Astyanax mexicanus: one gene and its partner. The protein of the gene in region 2 binds, or shares a complex with, the protein of the main gene of each other region. Links are inferred from orthologs where the notes say so. Each region holds a gene or a part of one and is shown on either strand. Other genes may lie near its edges.

Region 1 (10,411 bases), on a different chromosome or scaffold from region 2:
TACCCGGTAATCTATTTTAAGCGTTCTTACAGCACTTCATGCTTCCCTCTGCTGACAACTTTTATGGAAATGCGGATTTCATTTTCCAGTAGTAATTGGCACACTGCCAAAAGTACCAGTTGGTCTTATATAATATTTTAATTTTCTGAGACACTGATTTTTGGTTTTCATTGGCTGTAAGCCATAATCATCAACAATAAAATAAATAAATGTTTTAAATAGATTACTCTGTGTTTAATACATCTATATAGTATGAGTTTCACATTTTGAACCGAATTACTAAAATAAAGTAACTTTTCAATTCCATTCTAATTTAGGTAAATAATACAGCAAAAACAGTGGAGAGAAAAAATCAAAATAAACATTAAACACTAAATTCACTGTGTGATATGAGGCATGTATTAAAGAAAAACAAAAATTCCAGACTACCTGCAGAATTACAACACTATGCCATCAGAGGAGCAAGAGCCATCAGAGTAACACATCTGACTGGAAAAGACCGTTCAACAACCAAAACCCCTGCAAGAACAACTAAAAAGTACTAACTGAACTAACAGTACTAACTGCCACACAGGAACTGAATTTGCATATTCTGTACCATACAGCAACCAGATTTCAGTATGACTAATGTGGAAACAAATTTGACTACAAAGTGCAAATGCATGAAGATACAATCTTCATGGATAAGATCCAGCTAATAGTCAGATCCATGATGTGACCCGGTGCAAACAGGGTCAACATTGTTCACCCACAATGAAACATCTCCTCCTGTTTTATTAGTTAAGGGGGTTTTTCGTGAAGTATGACCTGAACCAAAGTAATTATAGAAGAAGAGCACCTGATCTGGCATATTTAGTTGTTAAGTTCACAGTTTCCTTTACAGTTGTGTTTCTTTTTGTGTTTTTCTTGTGGTAGATTTGCTTCTATGCTTTATTATTTTTCATTGTTGGTTTCAATATTTGTCAAAACATGATTTTTATCCTTTCACATCTTTTTTTGTGTCTTTGTGATGCTGTGCATAAACATCAGGCACCTTTGAAATGACAAAGAACAAGCTTCCTGCTCCCTACAGCTCTGGCCAGTGACTGTTTACTTACTATTAAAACACTAATATTAAAATAAATACAAGCAACATTCATACAGAAAGTAGTGGCAGTATTGATACATGTAGTATTAATTATTCAGTAGTTATATCATCACATCCATAGCTTGTATAGACTAGCTCATATGATCTCAACCAGTTTCTTCAGAAGGAGAAATTTGTGTTCCTTTTAACTATATATGTTTTTCGCTGCATCTGTTCTAATGTGACCTGGTCCATGAGCACCATGCAAAGTGTTCACAGGAACAGGTTCCACCTGGCTGAAAGTCCCAGAGACCAACTGTCAGACTTGCCGACTCTCTTTTTGTTAGAGCCTCCAGCAGAGAAAAGTGACTGTGCAGTGTGACTGAAGCAAGCAGTTCTATTTTGGATGCTCAGTCTTCTACCAGAAAACAAATCTGTCCTCCCTTCTGCTACCACTCCTGATGGCTTTATTCACTGTCATCACGCTTCCTTAATGTCAGTTTTAACAGACTGATGCAAAAACATCATAAGATATTAGCTTGACACAGTTCTAATTATAATCATTATTAGCTGAAAATGACAATTATTCCATTATTACATGATATTATGTATAGTAGGTCTGGATAAAATGGTGAAATTTGTAAGATTTGCTGTGATAATTTGAGACCATTGCTGTGATAATTTTGAGAGCTCATCTGTACAACACTGAAACTGTAGGACCTACATAATTCAAGCTGTCAAGTTGGCCATGTGTAATATGTCCAATTATTTGTTGTTGCTGTTCCAATGAATAACATGCATCTCTATTTTTTGATGATTTTTAGTTTACTGCATAATTTGAACAAACTTACACTGTGCCAACATTTCCTGATGAACAGATCATATTTTTTTTTTTAATGACCTAAAATAAAATGAAATAGTTTTTCTCTCTCCTGTATAGTTGCTGTTTTGAAAACACACGTTTTTCATTGGACAGTGACAATATGAATCATTAAGGTAAATGTTTCTGTAAAGGAAATATCAAGCCTCGTACCTCCATGCTCGAGAAAAACACGGACGCAGCGTTCCTTGCCCTTAGCGGCGGAGAAGTGGAGCAGGGTCCAGCCGTTGGCGTCTCTGATCTTGGGCGAGTAGCCCTGCTCCAGCATCTTGCGTACGGTGTAGACATCGCCAGCTGCCACCGCTGCCTGGATCTGCAGCTCCTCCTGTAGCTCCGGGTTCCTTCTGCAGTGATGGTTCAGCATCCTGTCACATCTCGCAGATCTTCAGCCTCTCATGTGCCTGTTAACAGAGAGATGATATGGAATGGTCAAGGTTTTAAATTTAAATAATTTTTTTTTACCCATTATTTATTATTTTATAATCATTGAAACACTAGTATGCAAGCTCTGTGATTTAGAGTGAGGAACATTAATGAAAAGGGCATGTTGCATGATGTAAACACATTAACTGTATTTAAAATAAGGATACACCAACATGACAATTTTTAGACAAAACCAAAACTGGGGAGAAAAGAGAAAAAAAAAAAAAATAATAATAATAATAATAAATATATATATATATATATATATATATATATATATATATATATATATATATATATATATATATATATATATATATATATATTGCAGTGACTACGAGCTTTTCCTTATAATTTGTTCTCTTTATTTATTTAGCCAAACCCCAAAACTGCTTGGTGTATACTTACTGTATATTATCCCTAATTTAAACAAAAACAAATGTCTATTATGCACAATATGCTGCTGATAATTTAATAATTTAATAACTATTAAATAAAACTATTAAACATTATAATTAAAATAGTACCCCAAAATACTAAAGGACATATAAAAAGAATAAATAATATATATTTTTTTTTCTGTATCACCCAGCTCTAGTGTTAATAATGCCGAATAAATGTGTGTTGATATTAACTTAATCATGCTTTAAAATGATCCTAATTTATGCTTAAAACATCACCTAAAGCTTAGTGCATACAGTACCAGTTAAAAGTTTGGACACACCTTCCCATTTATTGTTTTTCTTTCTTTAATTGTTTTCTATGTTGTAGATTAATACTACAGACATGAAAACAATTAAAGGGCACATATGAAATTACATAGTAAATACAATCCCCTGACCTAAACCCAACTGAGATGGGTGATTAGGAATGAAAAGCATTAAATTAACTATATTATTGAGCACCTCTAGGAACTCCTTCAAGATGCCGAGAAAACTATTATAGGTGACTTTCCCTCATGAAGACAGTGAGATTAAAATACCAAGAGTGTGCAAATCAAAGATAAATGCACTGCTTAGAAAAATCTAAAGTATAAAACATATTCTGGTTTGTGTTACTCTACAGCTTTAATATAGTTTTCAATATAAAATTTACAATGTAAGACATCATAAAAAGAAAGAAATAATACACACTGAATGAGAAGAGGTATGGTACTGTACATTGAGTTGTTGTATATGAAGTAACGTTAGCTATATATACTTTCAGATAAAAAAAAAACAGAAACAAATCCCAGATTAAGACATGATTACCCTTGCTTAAAGTCTAGCAGTCCTGGAAGCCTCTTTGTATTTTGTGGCCATTATTGAGTCCAGCATTGAACTTGAGAGCTGGAGAGAAAGAGAAACCTATGGAGAAAGAAGCACCAAGACCAGAAGAACAATAACACATTAATCAATACAAGAAGCACAGAAATAACAACACAGTTCACTTCACCTCTACATACAGCCAATATAACTAGCTAGTAACTGCAACGTTATTTAAACTGTATTTTCTTAAGACTGTTGGGCTGGAAGTGTATTTAGGAAAATGGAGAAAAGGCTAAAACAGTCTGGTGCAGACAGAGCTGTGTTATTGTTGTTCTTGTCATTCGACAAGCCTGCTGTTAGCTACTGTTATCTGGGTTAGCTAGCTAGCTTTTACAGTCATTACTGTTAACTGTGCTAAACTATTAACTCTTAGATATAACACCAAACCAGCCAGCTAACCCATATAAAGAGCAATCTTTACAACACTTTATAATACAGATATAAAGACAGTAATAGCATTAAAAGCTGTAGCGTCAGCTTTACTCACTGACTGAATAGCTAACCTAGCTAACATAACTGGACAGGACGAAACTGGCACTGGCAGGAGCAAACAATGAACTGTTAACGCTAGCTAGCTTTGTTAGCACAGCTCTGTTATCTAGCTTATGCTAAGCTAGCTAAATACAAGCATATTAACTTATAAATTAGTTTGTTTACACTTTAATATCATAACTACTTTCATACTAAACCTCTCACGTGTGTTAAAAAGGCGCACAGAAGCTCTGAGTGTTAAAAAGCGCAGTTATTTCCAAGCAGAAAGCAAATAGGCTATGCTAGCTAAAGCTAGCAAGCTAGCGTTAACTTACCCCAGCAGCAGCTGCAGCGGTTCAAGCTGCTACTCCTATACAGGGCTAGCAGGTTAGCCAGCTAAGCTAACTTAGCTAACTAGCCTTTAGCCGCAGGCTGTCCACTAGCCTGTAGCCAAACCCCGCAGTCACACTCTGTCCCAACTCGCCGAAACTCCCCGAACTGCAGCCCCGGCACTCACTGGACGCTGCCGGGCAGGTCCTCACCTCCAGACCTAAGAAACAAGCTCCGGGAAAACATTTAAACAGCCGCAACTGTTCACTAAACGCAGCTAACAGGCTAACTAAGTAGCTGCCCACTTCCAGACTCCGGCTCTGGCGCCCTTAACCAATCACAGCGCAGGACAGACGAATTTGAGCTGTCAAATCAGCGCGTGCGCTCCAATAAGCGCACTTGTGCCCTAACTAGAGCACTAGACACTAAAGCGCTATGAAAGATCTGCTGTGGCAGTTGTCAGTCATATGCAGTAGGACTGTTTTACAGAACCAGTCAAATGTTTGGACACATTATTGTGTCATATGGAATACACTTTAAAAAAGTCCATCACAAATTAGTTTTCTTAATATTACATACATTGTGAGATACTAAACTGTATTTCTAAGTCATTTTTTGAGATACTGAGTCCTTTTTAAGATAGTGAATTGTTATGTTAAGAGACTGAGTCATTATTTTGAGATGCGGAGTCGTTTTTGAGATACCGAGTTGTTGTGTTGAGATACTAAGTCGCTATTTTGAGATACTAAGGTGTTATGTTGAGAGTCTAAGTCATTATTTTGAGATGTTGAGTCCTTTTTGAGACACTAAGTTATGTTGAGATACTAAGTTGTTATTTTGAGATACTAAGTTGTTATGTTAAGAGACTAAGTTATTATTTTGAGAGGTCTTGAATGTATTTATTTTTTGTAATTTTGTTTTTCTGAAATGTAAATTCGTTTTGCACTTGGTGCTATGGTATTATTTTAAAATACTAAGTCCAAAGGTGTAAAACGTATTCACATTAATTACTCTGTAGGTAGAAGTATAGATTCTAGGGTTTAAAATACTTCTATATAAATTGAAGTATCAACTGGAAATGCCAGTAAGGACAAAAGATTAGTCCACACTACAAGAGCCGATATTGCCCTACTCCACCTCCCCAAAACAAATTTTTCTAAAAGCCATAATGACTATTACATTATATAAAAATTTTAATGTTGAAACATTTGGGTGCTGTTTCAGCCATTTTAGTACAATGCAAAAATAGTAAATATTAAAGAAGCTTAGTTGGAGATTTTTTGAGTCTCTTCCACAGATCAGGATGGAAATTATTATTATTATTATTATTATTATTATTATTATTATTATAAAATACTGAGTCAATCATGATAATCTAGCAATTCAATAATTTTCCAAATCATGACAAATAGTACTAATTGAAAAAAAAAACTTAACCCATAACAAAAGCAGACCTCAAATAGGACACTCAGTAGTGAGCGAGTGTACAGGGACCGAGTTCACCAATTGGAACAGACCCGCTGCCGTAAACCAATGGTTGGTTTGCGACAGATTTCACTGCTCGAAGACTCAGCGTGTGTATCAGAGGAGAGCAGTGCAGTGTTGATTAGTGGAGTATAACTCTTGGGGGTTTAGATCCGAATTAAACAGAGGATTACTGAAGTGATTCGGCCGAAAGTTGTTGCTTTGTGTTTTCAGTTCAGTCTGTTTCATAGACTCTGTGCTGCTGGATGTGTGTTTGTTGAGATGTGCCCAGATGGCTTGAAGAAGCTTCTTCTAGCTAGCATTGGTTATCTTGAAGATCTTGGATGATGAGGTTCACCACACATCATATTCTGGTAGTGTTTAACTGGGAATGTTGACATTTTAGAAAGCCCTGGATCTCCTGGATGTTTGGTCTCCAACCATCATTCTCTGGAGATCTAGCTAGATTAGGTAGCATTCTTTCTGCAGGATTTAACTCTCAATACAATAGTTATCTACCTAACATCTTACTGAGCCAACCAAGCCCTTCTGAAGTTTATATTTAACATCAAAAGTCTGTGAGAAGCAAATCTAGCTTTCTAAGGGCAGTAGGCCTGCAACTAATGATTGTTTTGCTTTTCGATTAATATGTTGATATATACATATTTTTTCGATTAGTCAGATTAGTTCATTTGTTTGCATCCTGCTTCCTATGGCTCCTGTTGCTAGCTTTCTCTCATCCCTTTAACACAATAGAAACAGCTAAATGTTGGATTTAGTTGTCTTTAAACGTGACATGTTTTGATATTTAGTGATAAAATATGTAATCTGTCGTGTTTGGTCACTTTTGTGGACCAAGCTGAGTGTAAATTGAGTATGTGGGAAGTCATATACCCTCTCTAATTGTGTTTCTGTCCCAAGCACTTTGTGTAGTACGAAGATGTTAAAAATTAACAATTAATTGACCCTGAAATTTGGAATTTTTAGAACCAGCATTGTTGATTATGTTGACTAATCTTCGCAGCCCTAAAGTGTAGGGTATAAAAACACTGCATAATATAACTGTGTATATGTTAACAGTGTGTACGTTTTTGGTGAGTGTATAATTCCATTGAGCATGTTGAAAAGTACTTATACTGTACTGAGATTTCTTTTCCGAGTGAATTTTCAACAAAAATATCTGTTAGACAGGAACTTTATTGATCCCAGAGAAAAGTTATGAATGTTGAGCTCTCGTTAGCTTTCAGTTTTTTTTTAAAGTAACGTTGTGTAAATGAGCAGTTGTTATCCTGCTGTTGCTAAGCTAAACAGAAAATGTTGTCATAAAAAAAACCACCAGACCACTTTATTTTTAACAAGTGGAAGCATATTAATTAGAATTATTTAATAGAATATTTTGTGCTAATGCTGTCCAGCAGTGCTAGCCGGGGTTAGGAGCAGGCTACAGGCCTGTATATTTGCCTCTGAATGGCAAAAGAGCTAGCGCGGTTAGTGGCCAATGCTAATGCTGCTCCAGCAGTGCTAGCTGGGGTTAACAGCAGGCTACATGCTGATAATAATACTCACCTCTGAATGGCGAAAGGGCTAGCGTTTAGCACAGTTAGCGGCTAATGCTAAAACTGCTTGAGCACTAAACTAAGGCTCCTGTATAATACTGTACTTTAGCGGAGTGGCTTTACTGCTCCTTAATACCTCAGTGATATAATTTATACATAAGGCGCACTTGATTATAAGGTGCACAGGCAATTTTTGGGAAAATTAAAGGATTTTAAGTATGTCATCAATAATAGTTCAAGCAGACAATTATATATAACAGTATCCAACCCATTTCATAGTTCAGAAAAGAACAATGGAAAACATTGAACATTTATTGTTAACAGATCACTACTAGCATGGGATCAGTAAGCCTAGCCTGCATCTGAAACCGGTACCACATGGACATGGATGATCCTTATTCAGACCTGCAGGCTGTGTTCCAGATCTTCCAGGCCGGGGTCATTCCTGGAACATCTAGTGAAGAGCTGGCAGGCAGAGTTTTCTCAGCCCTAAAGCGCACTTTACAACCTTTAAGCCAATCTCCACTCAGCGCTGAAGGTCCAGACGTGGACTCGGCATGCCTGTGTCTGACCCTCATTGGGAAAATGATTGCTGGACTGTCAGGAAACAGTTTGCCACAGAATGCCAGAACCTTCTACAGAGATGTCCTGAAGAAAGTGTTCACATCTGCAGATCTGATGTCGGAGCTTGTAAGTTATTCTATGTGTTTTACGAAAAAAAAGAATATAATTAAAAAGTGACTTTACTAGGCATTTATTTCTTATATTGTTTGACTATGGCTTATAGCCAATGAAAACCCAAAAATCAGTGTCTCAGAAAATGAGAATATTATTGGTACTTTTGGCAGCGTGGGCAAAGTCCTGTTGGCAAATGAAATCCATATCTCCATACAAGTTTTCAGCAGAAGTAAGCATAAAGTGCTGTAAGTTTTTCCAGGAAATTATTGCGCTGACTTTGGACTTGATTTAACACTGTGGACCAACACCAGCAGATGACATGTCTCTCCAAACCATCACTGATCATTAGTAAATTTTGCATTTCATTTAGAAATCAAGTGATCAGAGTCTGAAGAAAGAGTGGAGAGCATTTTATGCTTCCTTCTGCTGAAAACTTGTATGAAGATATGGATTTTATTTTCCAGCAGGACTGATGATGGCAAGCTGCATGACCGGGATTCGAACCACCAATCATAATGGCAGCGCATAGCCTGCTGGACCACACTGCTCCCCTCCATCAAGTTTAACAGTGAGATCAAGCAGGTTTTGGGTTATGACTATGATCCAATATTTTCCGTTGACTGTTTGTTGCAGATGTCTCTCTATAATTGTGGGGACAGACTTTTATCCCATTTGACCGCAAAGTGTGTCTCATCCTTTGTCATCGATGACACCTGTGCCTATGTAAGTAGTCAGTTGCGACTTAAAACCTGGCAGTAGCTTTAACCAGAAGCAAATCTTCCTACAATGACTTCCTGTGACAGTTAAGGCAGAACAGGTCTTCACTGGTTTGACATATAAAAGTGTGTTCTTGTTCTTTGCAGGGTGATGTGGATGCTGTTTGGACAGCAGCCTGTGCTGAAACATTTGGTTCTTCACCTCCTGGATGCACACTGGACACAAGCCTGTGGTCACTAACAGAGGTGATCAAAGGAATCCTAAGAGGAGAGTGTGCCAACAAACCAGGTACTATAGAGCTCTCACAGAAACACAATCAGACCCAGCTTCCCAAAAGTTTATATTAAAGATAGCTACAATAGTGAGTGTGAAGTTCGCTCTGACTGTTAAAGACTCATTTGGCATGATTGCAGATAAAACAAAGATTAGATCAGGGATGCAGAAGAGCGGCTGAAGGCTTTATCTGTATCTAGAATATGTTTTATATTTTAGTTTCTTCAAAGCAGGCATTTCTTGCTTAGACAGCAATTTGCACAGCTTTATAAGATAGAAGCACTTGGAATGGCTTTCAGTTAACAGCTGCGCCGAATATGTTAAGGGTTAATTACTTGAATTTATTGTATAGCTTGTTTTAACAAAGCTAACACGCAGACTACAATCTAATATACTCACCTTTGAATGATAAAAGAGCTAGCACTGCGGTTAGCGGCTAATGCTAAAGCTGCTGCACCCAGCCTTAGTGCTGGAGAAACTTGACTGAAAACTCACTCTTATATCGCTGTACTTACAACCTGACTGGTAAAATTCTTACATAAGGCACACCTGGTTAATTTTTTTAAGGCACACTCAATTTTTGGAAAGATTAAAGGATTTTAAGTGCGCCGTAGTCTGAAAAATATGGTAATCTGGCAGAAATTTGTGCTGCTTTGTTACATAATACAATCAAAATTTTGATCATTTTCTCCTCAGAGATTTTGAGGAAACTTCTCGCTGGTTTTGAAGAAGTTCTCACTTCCTTGTTTTTCAAGATGCTCCTTCATGACGCCTTTGAAAATTCTCAGGTGGCAGAGAACATCACTGATCTGGATGTCACTGTATCTACTTTCATGGACCTCCTGGAAGCTCTCTGTGCTGCGAGGCCGAGGTACGGCGTTTGCTCCACAGTTCAGAGACTGATGTTCCTCCACAGCTCAGTGCTGCTCCGTCTGATGGACTCCTGCCTGGGGTACTTTGTGAAGAAGCGAGTGCTGCTGTTACTGAAGAGGACAGTGGTTCAGAGGCCTGGAGAAGACTGGGCTTTAGGTGATCGTCACTCTGCGCTGCAGGAGGACGAGTTCCTGGCTGGTGACATGCTTGTGTTGGCGGATGCTGTTCTGCAGGAGGTGGCGGCTGGTTGGTTTAGGCGGATGTGGGTCAAACCCCAGCCCAGTTTCTTGGGTGGGAACAGGCAGAAGTTTCCGGAGGGTGAGGGGAAAGATGTAGTGATGCTGAGAGCTACTAGCCTCATCCTGATCAAGAG
Region 2 (9,957 bases):
AACATTAAAGCTACAAAGGTAACACTAGTGTTAGAGCAGAGCTAAGAGTAATGCTAACATTAAAGAGCTAACATTAAGGCTACAGAGCCAACACTAGTGTTAGAGTAGAGCTAAGAGTAGTGCTAACATTAAGGCTACAGAGCCAACACTAGTGTTAGAGTAGAGCTAAGAGTAGTGCTAACATTAAAGCTACAGAGTTAACACTAATGCTGGAGTAGAGCTCACAGTAGAGCTAACATTAAAGCTACAAAGCTAACACTAGTGTTAGAGTAGAGCTAAGATTAAAAACCCACTAAACATTGATTTCTAAAACTTTATAAATTTGAACTTGTTTTCTTTGCGTTATTTGAGGTCTGAAAGCTCTGCATCTTTTTTGTTATTTCAGCCATTTCTCATTTTCCACAAATAAATGCTCTAAAGGACAATATTTATATTTGGAATTTGGGAGAAATGTTGTCCGTAGTTTATAGAATAAAACGAAAATGTTCATTTTAATCAAACATATACCTATAAATAGCAAAATCAGAGAAACTGATTCAGAAAACTGAAGTGGTCTCTTATTTTTTTCCAGAGCTGTTAATATCACTGGTTACTCTTCAGACATCCAATTTTCTTTGAACATTACAGCATCTGACCTCACAACAGATTGTGATGAACCTGAACTGGTCTTGCTGATCACTGATCACACCTTTTAAGTGCAGAGTTACTGGTGAAAAGTGTCTCATGCACAGGGTTCTCCAGAGGGAGGTGGAGTGTGTGGAGAAGTGAGTCAAAGACTCCATAACCTACTTTCCTGCAGAGAATGGTTCCTCAGAGGCTCGTGAGCGTCACACAACAGCCAGTTATTTCAGGATTTAGCTCTATTTCCAGCCCTCAGGTTCGCTGATGCTTACAAACCAGCGGAACACGAAACAATTCAGGGCTGGAGCATCAAGAGAGCCTCAACCTGGAGCCTCCGCAACCTTACAAAACCATCAGCTGCTTTAATAATACACGACTGCCCAAGCTCCTATACATCTTAGATCATCACCAGCTTTTTTGTTGGATGTTATCACCACGCCAATGCACACAACTAAATGACATGAAAGTATATGTGTTCATAATGTGATTTTTAATAATTTTCTTTTTTATGTTTTCCCACTTATGATATTTTACAAGAACAATTTTCACTTTTTTTTAAATACAGTTCTATCATTATTACACTTAACAGCATGTTTTCCCACTATCACATTTGTGTTTTTAGGTGATAAATGATAACATGATAACATTTTCCAGATTTTCCCAGCGTGATAACATTTTCCATCTTGCCACATTTGTTATTTGATGGAACTGTCACATACATTTACATGTGATATCATGTTACCATATTATTTGAAATTCATAATTTTCAACATTAAAATGTCCATATTAAAATTTTCCATATTATGATTTTTTCTTAAAAAAAATATGATAACATTTGCCATTACTTTTTCACATATAATCACATCCTCCCACAATTGCAGTTGATACCATTTCCCCCACATTTCATGTGATAACCTTTAATAATATAATAAGCAGTAAACAGTAATATTTTTGAAAATGTTGATGTATCAACATTTGTTCACATTTTCTGTGTAATATTATGTCCCATAAATTTCCATGTGATCCAATTTCCCCTTATGATAACATCTTTATCATATTTTCCATGTGATGGCATTTTCCCACATTTTTTTTTCACGCACAAACATTTTTTCACATTTTCCATGTGATAGCATTTTCCTACTTTTTTTCCACATTATAACATTTCCTCACATTTTCTATGTGATGGCTTTTTTCCCACTTTTTTCACATGATAACATTTCCTCACATTTTTATGTGATGGCATTTTTCCATTTTTTTCACACAATAACATTTCTTCATATTTTTCATGTAATGGCATTTTCCTACTTTTTCCACACAATAATTTTTTTTCTCATTTTCCATGTGATGGCATTTTCCCACTTTTTTCCACATTATTAAATTTCCTCACATTTGTATGTGATGACATTTTCCCACTTTTTTCCACATGGTAATATTTCCTCACACTTTCTTTGTGATGGCATTTTGCCAGTTGTTCCCCATATTTTTGAAACATTTTTTATTTTTCATGTGATAACATGTTGCATGAATTTCCCTACATATGATAACAAGTTTTCAGATTTGTCATTTGATGGCATTTCTCCACAATTTTTCATGTGATTACACTTCACCATATTATTTCCATGTGAAAATATTTTAACTGTGATAAAAGTTTGTTTATTTTTTTTAAGTGATATTTGCCAACCTTTTTTTCAATTTGGGGCATATCTTCATATTTCCTCATCATTTTTTGAATGTGGTAACATTTCCCGATTGCCCATATGCAAAAATAATTTCTACATTTTATCATGTGTTTCCATGAACTCCCAGTCTTATTCCCACCCAACTCCGCACTCACACTTCTGAAACCGAAACTACGCCCATGTAGAAGAGTCTTACTAAAGCCCTGGTCTCTCCCACACGTCTCTGTACAGGTTTCAGCACGTCCCCCTCTCCTTAATGCTAACCGTATGCTGCAGTACTAACGTTCCTGTAGAGCTGAAGAGGATTCTGGGAGACAGGGCAAGACACGCTGATGAAACCTAAGCACCTGCTTTATTACACAGGTCTGGCTGTGATGCAGAGAACATGTACTGAACTCATAAATGGCTGTAATGTGGGCGTGCTATTTACCCACAATCCATGAAACTCTGCTTTGGTCGCAGATTTACTGACTTCATTACTCAACAGCAGCTATAATTACTCACAAAAGAGCAGAAAGCGTTTGTAGCAGCTGTGTTCCTTACTGTCGGTACTCAAACATGCTTACTAAAAGTCTCAGATACTGGAGGACTGTGCTAATTAGATTAATCACAATTAATCTCTAGAGTAATCACAATTGAATCTTTTGAAATCTAAGATTATCTGATCTAATCTAATCTTATGTATGTTACAGACTAAATTAAAATGACTCTGCATTTAGCTATCATATGCAACATAAAATACAATTATAAAACCATTTTTGGGACCACAGCACAGATTTTTGCTTTTTAAATGCGCTTTGGCTTAGAGAAAACAGCGGAATTTCTGGGCCATATTGACACATGATTACTTTTAGTATAAAACATCTTAAACTTACATCTGTGGATTACAAGGCGAACACTCTGAAAGTGCCCATCCATTGGTTTCTAATACAAGATCATAGCTGTTGTTAATGCAGTACCACCTGAGGGTCCGAAGATCACCAGCATCTAGTATTGACTGTCTGCCTTGTTTCTTCTGCACAGGAATTTATCCATTTTTTTCTTAATCTTTTGAAGGTATTATGTACTGTATATGACAAAATTTTACTCTGAGTATTTTTTTTTTGCCCCACAATTTAGAAATTTTTTTTTTACAGATTAGTGAACCTCTGCCCATCTTTGCTTCTGAGAGACTCTGCCACTTTTTGCTCTTTTTTATACCCAGTGAAAAAGCTAGTTGCTGTCTTAATGCAGCTCTTTTTATTGGTACCACTTACTATTCCATTTTTTTGATTCACTGCTTTAATCAAGTTTCTAAATGAGTATATATTTTTAATGAAATGGTAAAATGTCTCACTTTCAACATCTAAAACAATTTCTCACAAAAGTGAGTATACCCCTCACATTTTCATAAATATTGTATTACATCTTTTTTATGGGACAACACTAAAGATATGACACTTAAATACAATGTAAAGTAGTGAGTATAAAGCTTGTGTAAGCTGTAGAAGTTTAACATGGCACCTCATGGCAAAGAACTCTCTGAGGATCTGAAAAAAATAATTGTTGCTCTACCTAAAGATGGCCTAGGCTATAAAAAACATTGCTAACACCCTAAAAATGAGAAACAGCACTTTGGCCAAGACCATGAAGTGGTTTAACAGGACAGTTTTCACGCAGAACAGGCCCAAGCTATTCGGTCGACCAAAGAAGAATGTTGGCTGATTGGATCCTAATTTTATTTATATTTATTTACACTTTACAAAAAGTGATCCTACTTTTTGATTTTTTAAAATATTTGTATGTTATCTGTTAAATTCAGTAAATACTCATTAAAAATTTATTAAAACATTCAGAAATGTGCTTTTGCCAAGAATGATGATTTATAATAGCATTTACAGCATTTAAAATAAATACAGCTGTGCCCAAACATCTGTATTCAGCTGTATAGCTATAGACTCCACAGTGTAGTAGAGACTGCTATAATGTATTTGACCTTCCATAAATATCCTTATCTATTAAAGTAATGAAAGAATTAATAGGGTTACTACAGCACAGTCAGCACAGCTGGAGAATAGAGTGAATATTGGAGTTCTTACCTGAGGCTGTAGTGTTCCTGAGTGAATCCTGTGTAAGAGCACTCCGTCTCAGCGAGGCTGTCCTCCTCAGGTGAGTCGAGCTGTAGAACAAACACTCCTCCTCTCCCTCTCTCTCTTTCTCTCTCTCTCGCCCCACTTTACTCTCTCACTCTACCTCTCTCTTTCACCTCCTTTATCACACAGCCCTCCTCCCTTCTGCTTAATGTTCTCCAGCTCTCTTCCCTCTATTTACCTCTCTCTTGTCTTTTGAAGGTTTTTAGTATATAAACGAGACCTTTAAAATAAAAAATAAAAATGTGTTTCATTCTCTAATATTTTGCAGCATGTTTTATACAAAACGTTTTGTGATAGCTCACAGGTTATTTCAGTGTTTTTAGAACATTTTTTGTCTAAAATGTTTATTTTATTTTGTTTAGACTGTCCACAGTTTTATGATCATCTATATATATTTACAGCTGTTGACAAAAATCAGTTTCTGAATCAGTTTCTCTGATTTTGCTATTTATAGGTGTATGTTTGAGTAAAATGAACATTGTTGTTTTATTCTATAAACTAAGGACAACAATTCTCCCAAATTCCAAAGAAAAATATTGTTATTTAGAGCATTTATTTGCAGAAAATGAGAAATGGCTGAAGTAACAAAAAAGCAGAGCTTTCAGACTTCAAATTGTGCAAAGAAAACAAGTTTATCATCATAAAGTTTTAAGAGTTCAGAAATCAATATTTGGTGGAATAACCCTGGTTTTTAATCACAGTTTTCATGCATCTTGGCATGTTTTCCTCCACCAGTCTCACATACTGCTTTTAGACAACTTTATGCCATTCCTGGTGCAAAATGTACATGGTCTACCACTTTCTGGCTGAGATGCACTAATAAAAGCACTGACAGTTACCTGTAGAATTTTTAATAGTAAAGATATTTCCCAATATATATTTCATGCATCCTACCTGTAACAACAGACACTCACAGATACCAATCAGTCAATTTATTAACTTATATTAGACTTATAGGGTTAGACTTATGGGGGTAGCCAGAGACAGGCAGGGTCAATAACAAAATGGCAGCAATCATACATGGGGTAATCCAAACAGATAAAGGGCTAGACAAAAAGAGTAGTCTGAACTACATAAATAGGTTTGGCAATGGTAAAAAAAAAAATGGAAAGGGCAAGAGAAAAGAATAAAAAAAAGAAAAAGAAAACTGGGTCAGTAACAATATAGAATGAAAAAATAAATGCTTGGTTTCACTGAAAAACTACAATGAATACAGAAACAGGGTGGTATATATATTCCTAAGACAGGCAGGTGTGAAAAATCAGAAGCTCGGGGAGAAGGAACTCCGTAGCAACACGTGATCAGCATAGTCAGGAAAGCCAGGTGAGTCCGAGTGCATGCAGGGAATTGGAGTCTTTGTTGTTAAGTTCAGAGTCCAGAGGATGCAGACTGACATTGTCAGGACTGACACTATTATAGTCCCACGCTGGCCATGGAAGAGATTGGAATATAATGTATTTTATTAGATATCAATATAAAGTAAATGATAGTCACTCCTATTAAAAGTTTAAAATCAACTTTTTGTTTCTAATCAACTCATAAATGTTCACAGTTCTTCAGGTATCTTCTTCTCTCCAGAAGTGATTAAAAGTCATGTCTTGCCCTTGGAGTCACCTGTCTTCTTTGCGACAGTGTATTGACAGTAAAGTGAGATGATACCTCAGCTTCCCAGGGGTGGTGGATAATGGGGCCATTCCGGCCTGGGCACACAGTGTCATCCGTTACCACTCTGACCTCCAGATAGATCTGCTTCACACTGTGTTCTTTCCAACCAGCCATGTCCTTGGGCAAGGATGGATAAGTCAGCTTGGTGTAATGTGACGTCTCACACAGTCCAGTTCAGTCTAAGTTCACTTTCATTACTCGTCTGCTGCTGGGTTTGGGGTCGTTAGTCAGACATATGCCTCACAGAGGAGATCTGCAGCCAGACTCTACTGGGAGGGAAAACTCCAGCTCAGCATTAGATTCTGCTGATAACTGGTTTCAGAAGGTCTTAGCTGGTCTACATTTTTAGGCCATTTTCTTATCAACTTCCTTGACCATGTAGGAGCACTATGTAGTTCTATGTATATTTACAGACTGTATTGCTTATGTTTTCCTTTTTTCACCCAATTCCTCAATGGTCAGGACCCAACAGGACCACCACAGAGCCACAGAGAAGCTATTATTTGGGTAATGGGTCTCCCATTCTCAGTACTGCATTGACTATACTAACATGGTGGTGGTAGCAGTGCTGCTGGAGGTTTTAAACATGGTTAACCCTAACTTTCCACTCTAGTAGATACTCCAACCTTGCTGGTCCACCATTATTAGATTATTTGGGTGTTGGGTCATTTACAGCACCTCCGTAATTCTGACATGATGGTGGTGTGTTAGTGTGTGTTGCACTGGTTCAAGGCATCATGACTAATTTGGCACCATTTGCTTAATACCAGGCATATGTTAAATGGGTATAATGCACTTTTATCATTGATCTGTGGAGCTCAAGTGATCCACACAAAACTTTTGGGATAAATTGGGAAGTTGAGGTTGGATCAGTTAAGGTGAGGAACATCCAAAACTCTCACCTCACTAATGCTTGTGGAGCTGAATGCAATCAAATCCTCACAGCAATGCGCCAAAATCTGGTACAAAGTCTTCCACGGAAACTTTAAACTTAATTTGATGTCTGCCCACCTGTTGCAACTATAAAAACTTTAACTTTAATGGGAAGGCTTTCCACAAGGTTTAGTAGTGTGTTTATGTGCATTTCTGACCATTCTTTCAGAAGCGCATTTGTGAGGTCAGACACTGATGTTGGGCGAGAAGCCTGGATCACACTGTTTGCTATAATTCTTTTTAAAGCATTGAGAGTCTTTCATTGGAACTCATTAAAGGAGGACTCTGGTGTAAAATGGACTTTTGGTTTAGTAAAACATGATAAAAAAGTACTTACCTGTGAGGAATAGCACACCTCTGTTCTCCCACCACGTTCCGAGACACAGAAATTTTAACAGTTTGTCCAAACACCCTTCAGACTGGGTGACACCGGGCATAATTTGCCCCAATAAATCGCTTTTTCCACCAGACTAAAAGTAGCTCTACATCTCCTTGCTAGAATCTAGAGAGCCCTGATATTTAAAATGAGGCATTAATAACTTAAAAAGTGCACAAGAAGCTTATTAAAAAACACTATTTACTTTATATATTTACTATATATTTTTACTACAACGTTAGCTTCAGCTTCATGCGCCAACATCACTGTACTGATAATAACATGAACATATATATACATAGACTCTGCATTGCCGGCCTCCTGGTGCCGCCCCTCTGCCAAAATTCTTTTGGCAACCGCTTAACCCAGACTCGTCCATCAGACTGCCTGACAGAGGAGTGTCATTCTACAAAATCAACAACTATGTCTCCACCATGTCTCTACTGTTTTAAATCTCTAAATTTTTACAGCAATGCTCCAAAATCTGGTACAAAACCTTCCATGAAAACTTTGATTTCAGAAAAAAACATGAATGTGCAGGTGTCCCAGTATTTTTGACCATATTGTGAAGGTACAGTAAGGATGGTAATACCAGCATATTGTCATTTCTCTTACTTGAACTGACAGTTCTTACAGTTCACTTCATAAAAATCTCAGAAAATATTAAAATGAATAAATTATAAGCTCTATATTTTTGCCTTCTTTTCTTTCCTGCTTTTTCCCTCTCTCTCTCTCTCTCTGTTATTCAGGTTGGCTATTCTGAATCTGCAGGTCAGATGAATAAATGATAAATGCAGATGGATGAGTTTTATTTAAAAGTCAGCGCAGGTTAAAGGTGAGAGAGAGAGAGATGCTAGCAACAGATGCAGCATAATCACAGAGTTATTGGCACCATAAGCAACATTCTGTATGAACTTTTTCACAAAATAGCAGTTTTAGAATCATAATGATGCTTCACTGATACATAATAATATGTAATAGTGCCTTTGTCATTCCTGATCAAAATTCTAATGCTGGAACTGCACTATGGAACCATCTATGGTGGCGATGCACATGTTTTCTCTCTCTGTAACTAAGTACTAATTAGCTGACTCCGCCCATTATTACATGGACTATATATACTGGGACTCTTGCTTAGTTTAGTTAAGAGATAATGCCACACCAGTGCCTTATTAAGTAGTTTTCTAAAGTGTTTGTTATTCCTGTTTTTTTATTTAATCCTTGCCTGTCCTTGACTAGGATTTTTGCCTTGTGATCTATTTCTGATTTTGAACTCTTACAAATTACAATTAGAATTTACTGCGGTGGAGTAAAAGTGAATTACACTCCACAACTGTAGAGGGAGCCCAAGAGAAAACAAAACAAAACAAAACAAACAATTCTTATTAGTATTAGTATAAATATTTACTACTCCTGGTTGCCCTCTATAAAATAAGCCACACGCCAACCCCTGCCCACTTTACTCTGATTGGCTGTACCCCAACACCTTTTTGACAGTGGTCTGTTTCAATGAAAGACGGTAAATAAGACAGAGCCCTGTATAGGCTGTTCAGTTTCATATTTACCTCAAACAAAAAAACTATTTTTAATACATACTGAAATCATTACAGCTGTACATGTCACAGATGATGAGGTGAGGTGTGTGAGAGTGTTAGCTCCGAGTGGCAGAATGGGGTGTGTGGGTGTGTGCGTGTGTGGTGGGGTTGTTCAGGCAGAAACCTGTAAAGTCAAACAGGTACGCTCTGTTACAACACCACTGTAGCCTTTGATCAATTATGAAACAAAGACAAGCCCAGACAGAACTGAAAATGTTGCGTTCTTTGTGTGTCTGTGTGTGTGAGAGAGTGTGTATGTGTGAGTGTATGTGTGTGAGAGTGTGTATGTGTGAGTGTATGTGTGTATGTACTGTTTACAAAGTTATACCTGGGTCTGGTAATAAATCTGTAACACCTGGCTTTTTAAACAAAGCGCACTATCAATCAGAGAGTGTGTGTTTATGTCCAGATGGTGTGTATGTGTGTGTGTCTGTGTGTGTTTGGAGGGGCGTCACCTTTTTCTGAACACCTTCAATTCTCCTCTTTCTTGCTCTCTTTTTCTCTCTTTCTCACTTTCTCTAAAAAAAGATCACTATATCTTTGTCTCATTGCTTTTTCATATTCTTCACTTTAAAGTCCAGCTGATAAACATACAAACTTGATTTAAACTATCTTTACTTAATCTATCTATCTATCTATCTATCTATCTATCTATCTATCTATCTATCTATCTAGCTATCTATCTATCTATCATAAAGTTAATAAAAGTGAAATAACATTGTGGTAACATTGTAATAACAGAAATAAAAGACAGAAATAAAAATAACAGACTGTCTGTCGACTGATAGTTACACCCTGCCTGTTTGAGCAAATACCAAACTCTATATATCTATTGTAACATTGTAATAACAGAAATAAAACAATTGTAAATAATTTAAATGACATATTACTGTTGCAAACAGTAATTTCACCTAAGTAAAAACATTGTAAAAACACAGTGGTAATGTCACTATACT

What was found. Proteins that work in one complex are often made in the same cells at the same time.
Region 1: the proteins of lzts1 (region 2) and asb7 are in contact, whole or in part, in a crystal structure (PDB 8Y1U), measured with the Homo sapiens proteins. The link is inferred for Astyanax mexicanus from reciprocal best matches to the Homo sapiens genes LZTS1 and ASB7. Residues at the interface, in NP_001349813.1 of Homo sapiens: Arg346, Glu348, Leu349, Leu352, Met353, Glu355, Gln356, Leu358, Leu359, Glu360, Lys362, Leu363, Arg364, Ser365, Tyr366; in NP_937886.1 of Homo sapiens: Asn46, Trp48, Ala56, Ile79, Phe82, Tyr87, Met90, His91, Asp116, Trp118, Val123, His126, Tyr127, Ser147, Lys149, Thr151, Gln155, Leu156, Ile159, Arg160, Phe182, Arg185, Tyr186, Ile189, Lys190, Arg210, Leu220, Leu223.

The regions. Positions count from the first base shown.
Region 1 is NC_064423.1:10,095,293-10,105,703, forward strand, and holds the start of asb7 (ankyrin repeat and SOCS box protein 7), read right to left. Parts: upstream 4,815-10,411; 5' UTR 4,483-4,814; intron 3,716-4,482; 5' UTR 3,620-3,715; intron 2,348-3,619; 5' UTR 2,311-2,347; coding exon 2,100-2,310; intron 1-2,099. Other genes in the region: lins1 (protein Lines homolog 1), read left to right, coding at 7,876-8,187, 8,809-8,898, 9,039-9,180, 9,862-10,411. UniProt on the Homo sapiens protein: Probable substrate-recognition component of a SCF-like ECS (Elongin-Cullin-SOCS-box protein) E3 ubiquitin-protein ligase complex which mediates the ubiquitination and subsequent proteasomal degradation of target proteins.
Region 2 is NC_064419.1:33,059,695-33,069,651, reverse strand, and holds the start of lzts1 (leucine zipper putative tumor suppressor 1), read right to left. Parts: upstream 4,479-9,957; 5' UTR 4,379-4,478; intron 1-4,378. UniProt on the Homo sapiens protein: Involved in the regulation of cell growth. May stabilize the active CDC2-cyclin B1 complex and thereby contribute to the regulation of the cell cycle and the prevention of uncontrolled cell proliferation. May act as a tumor suppressor.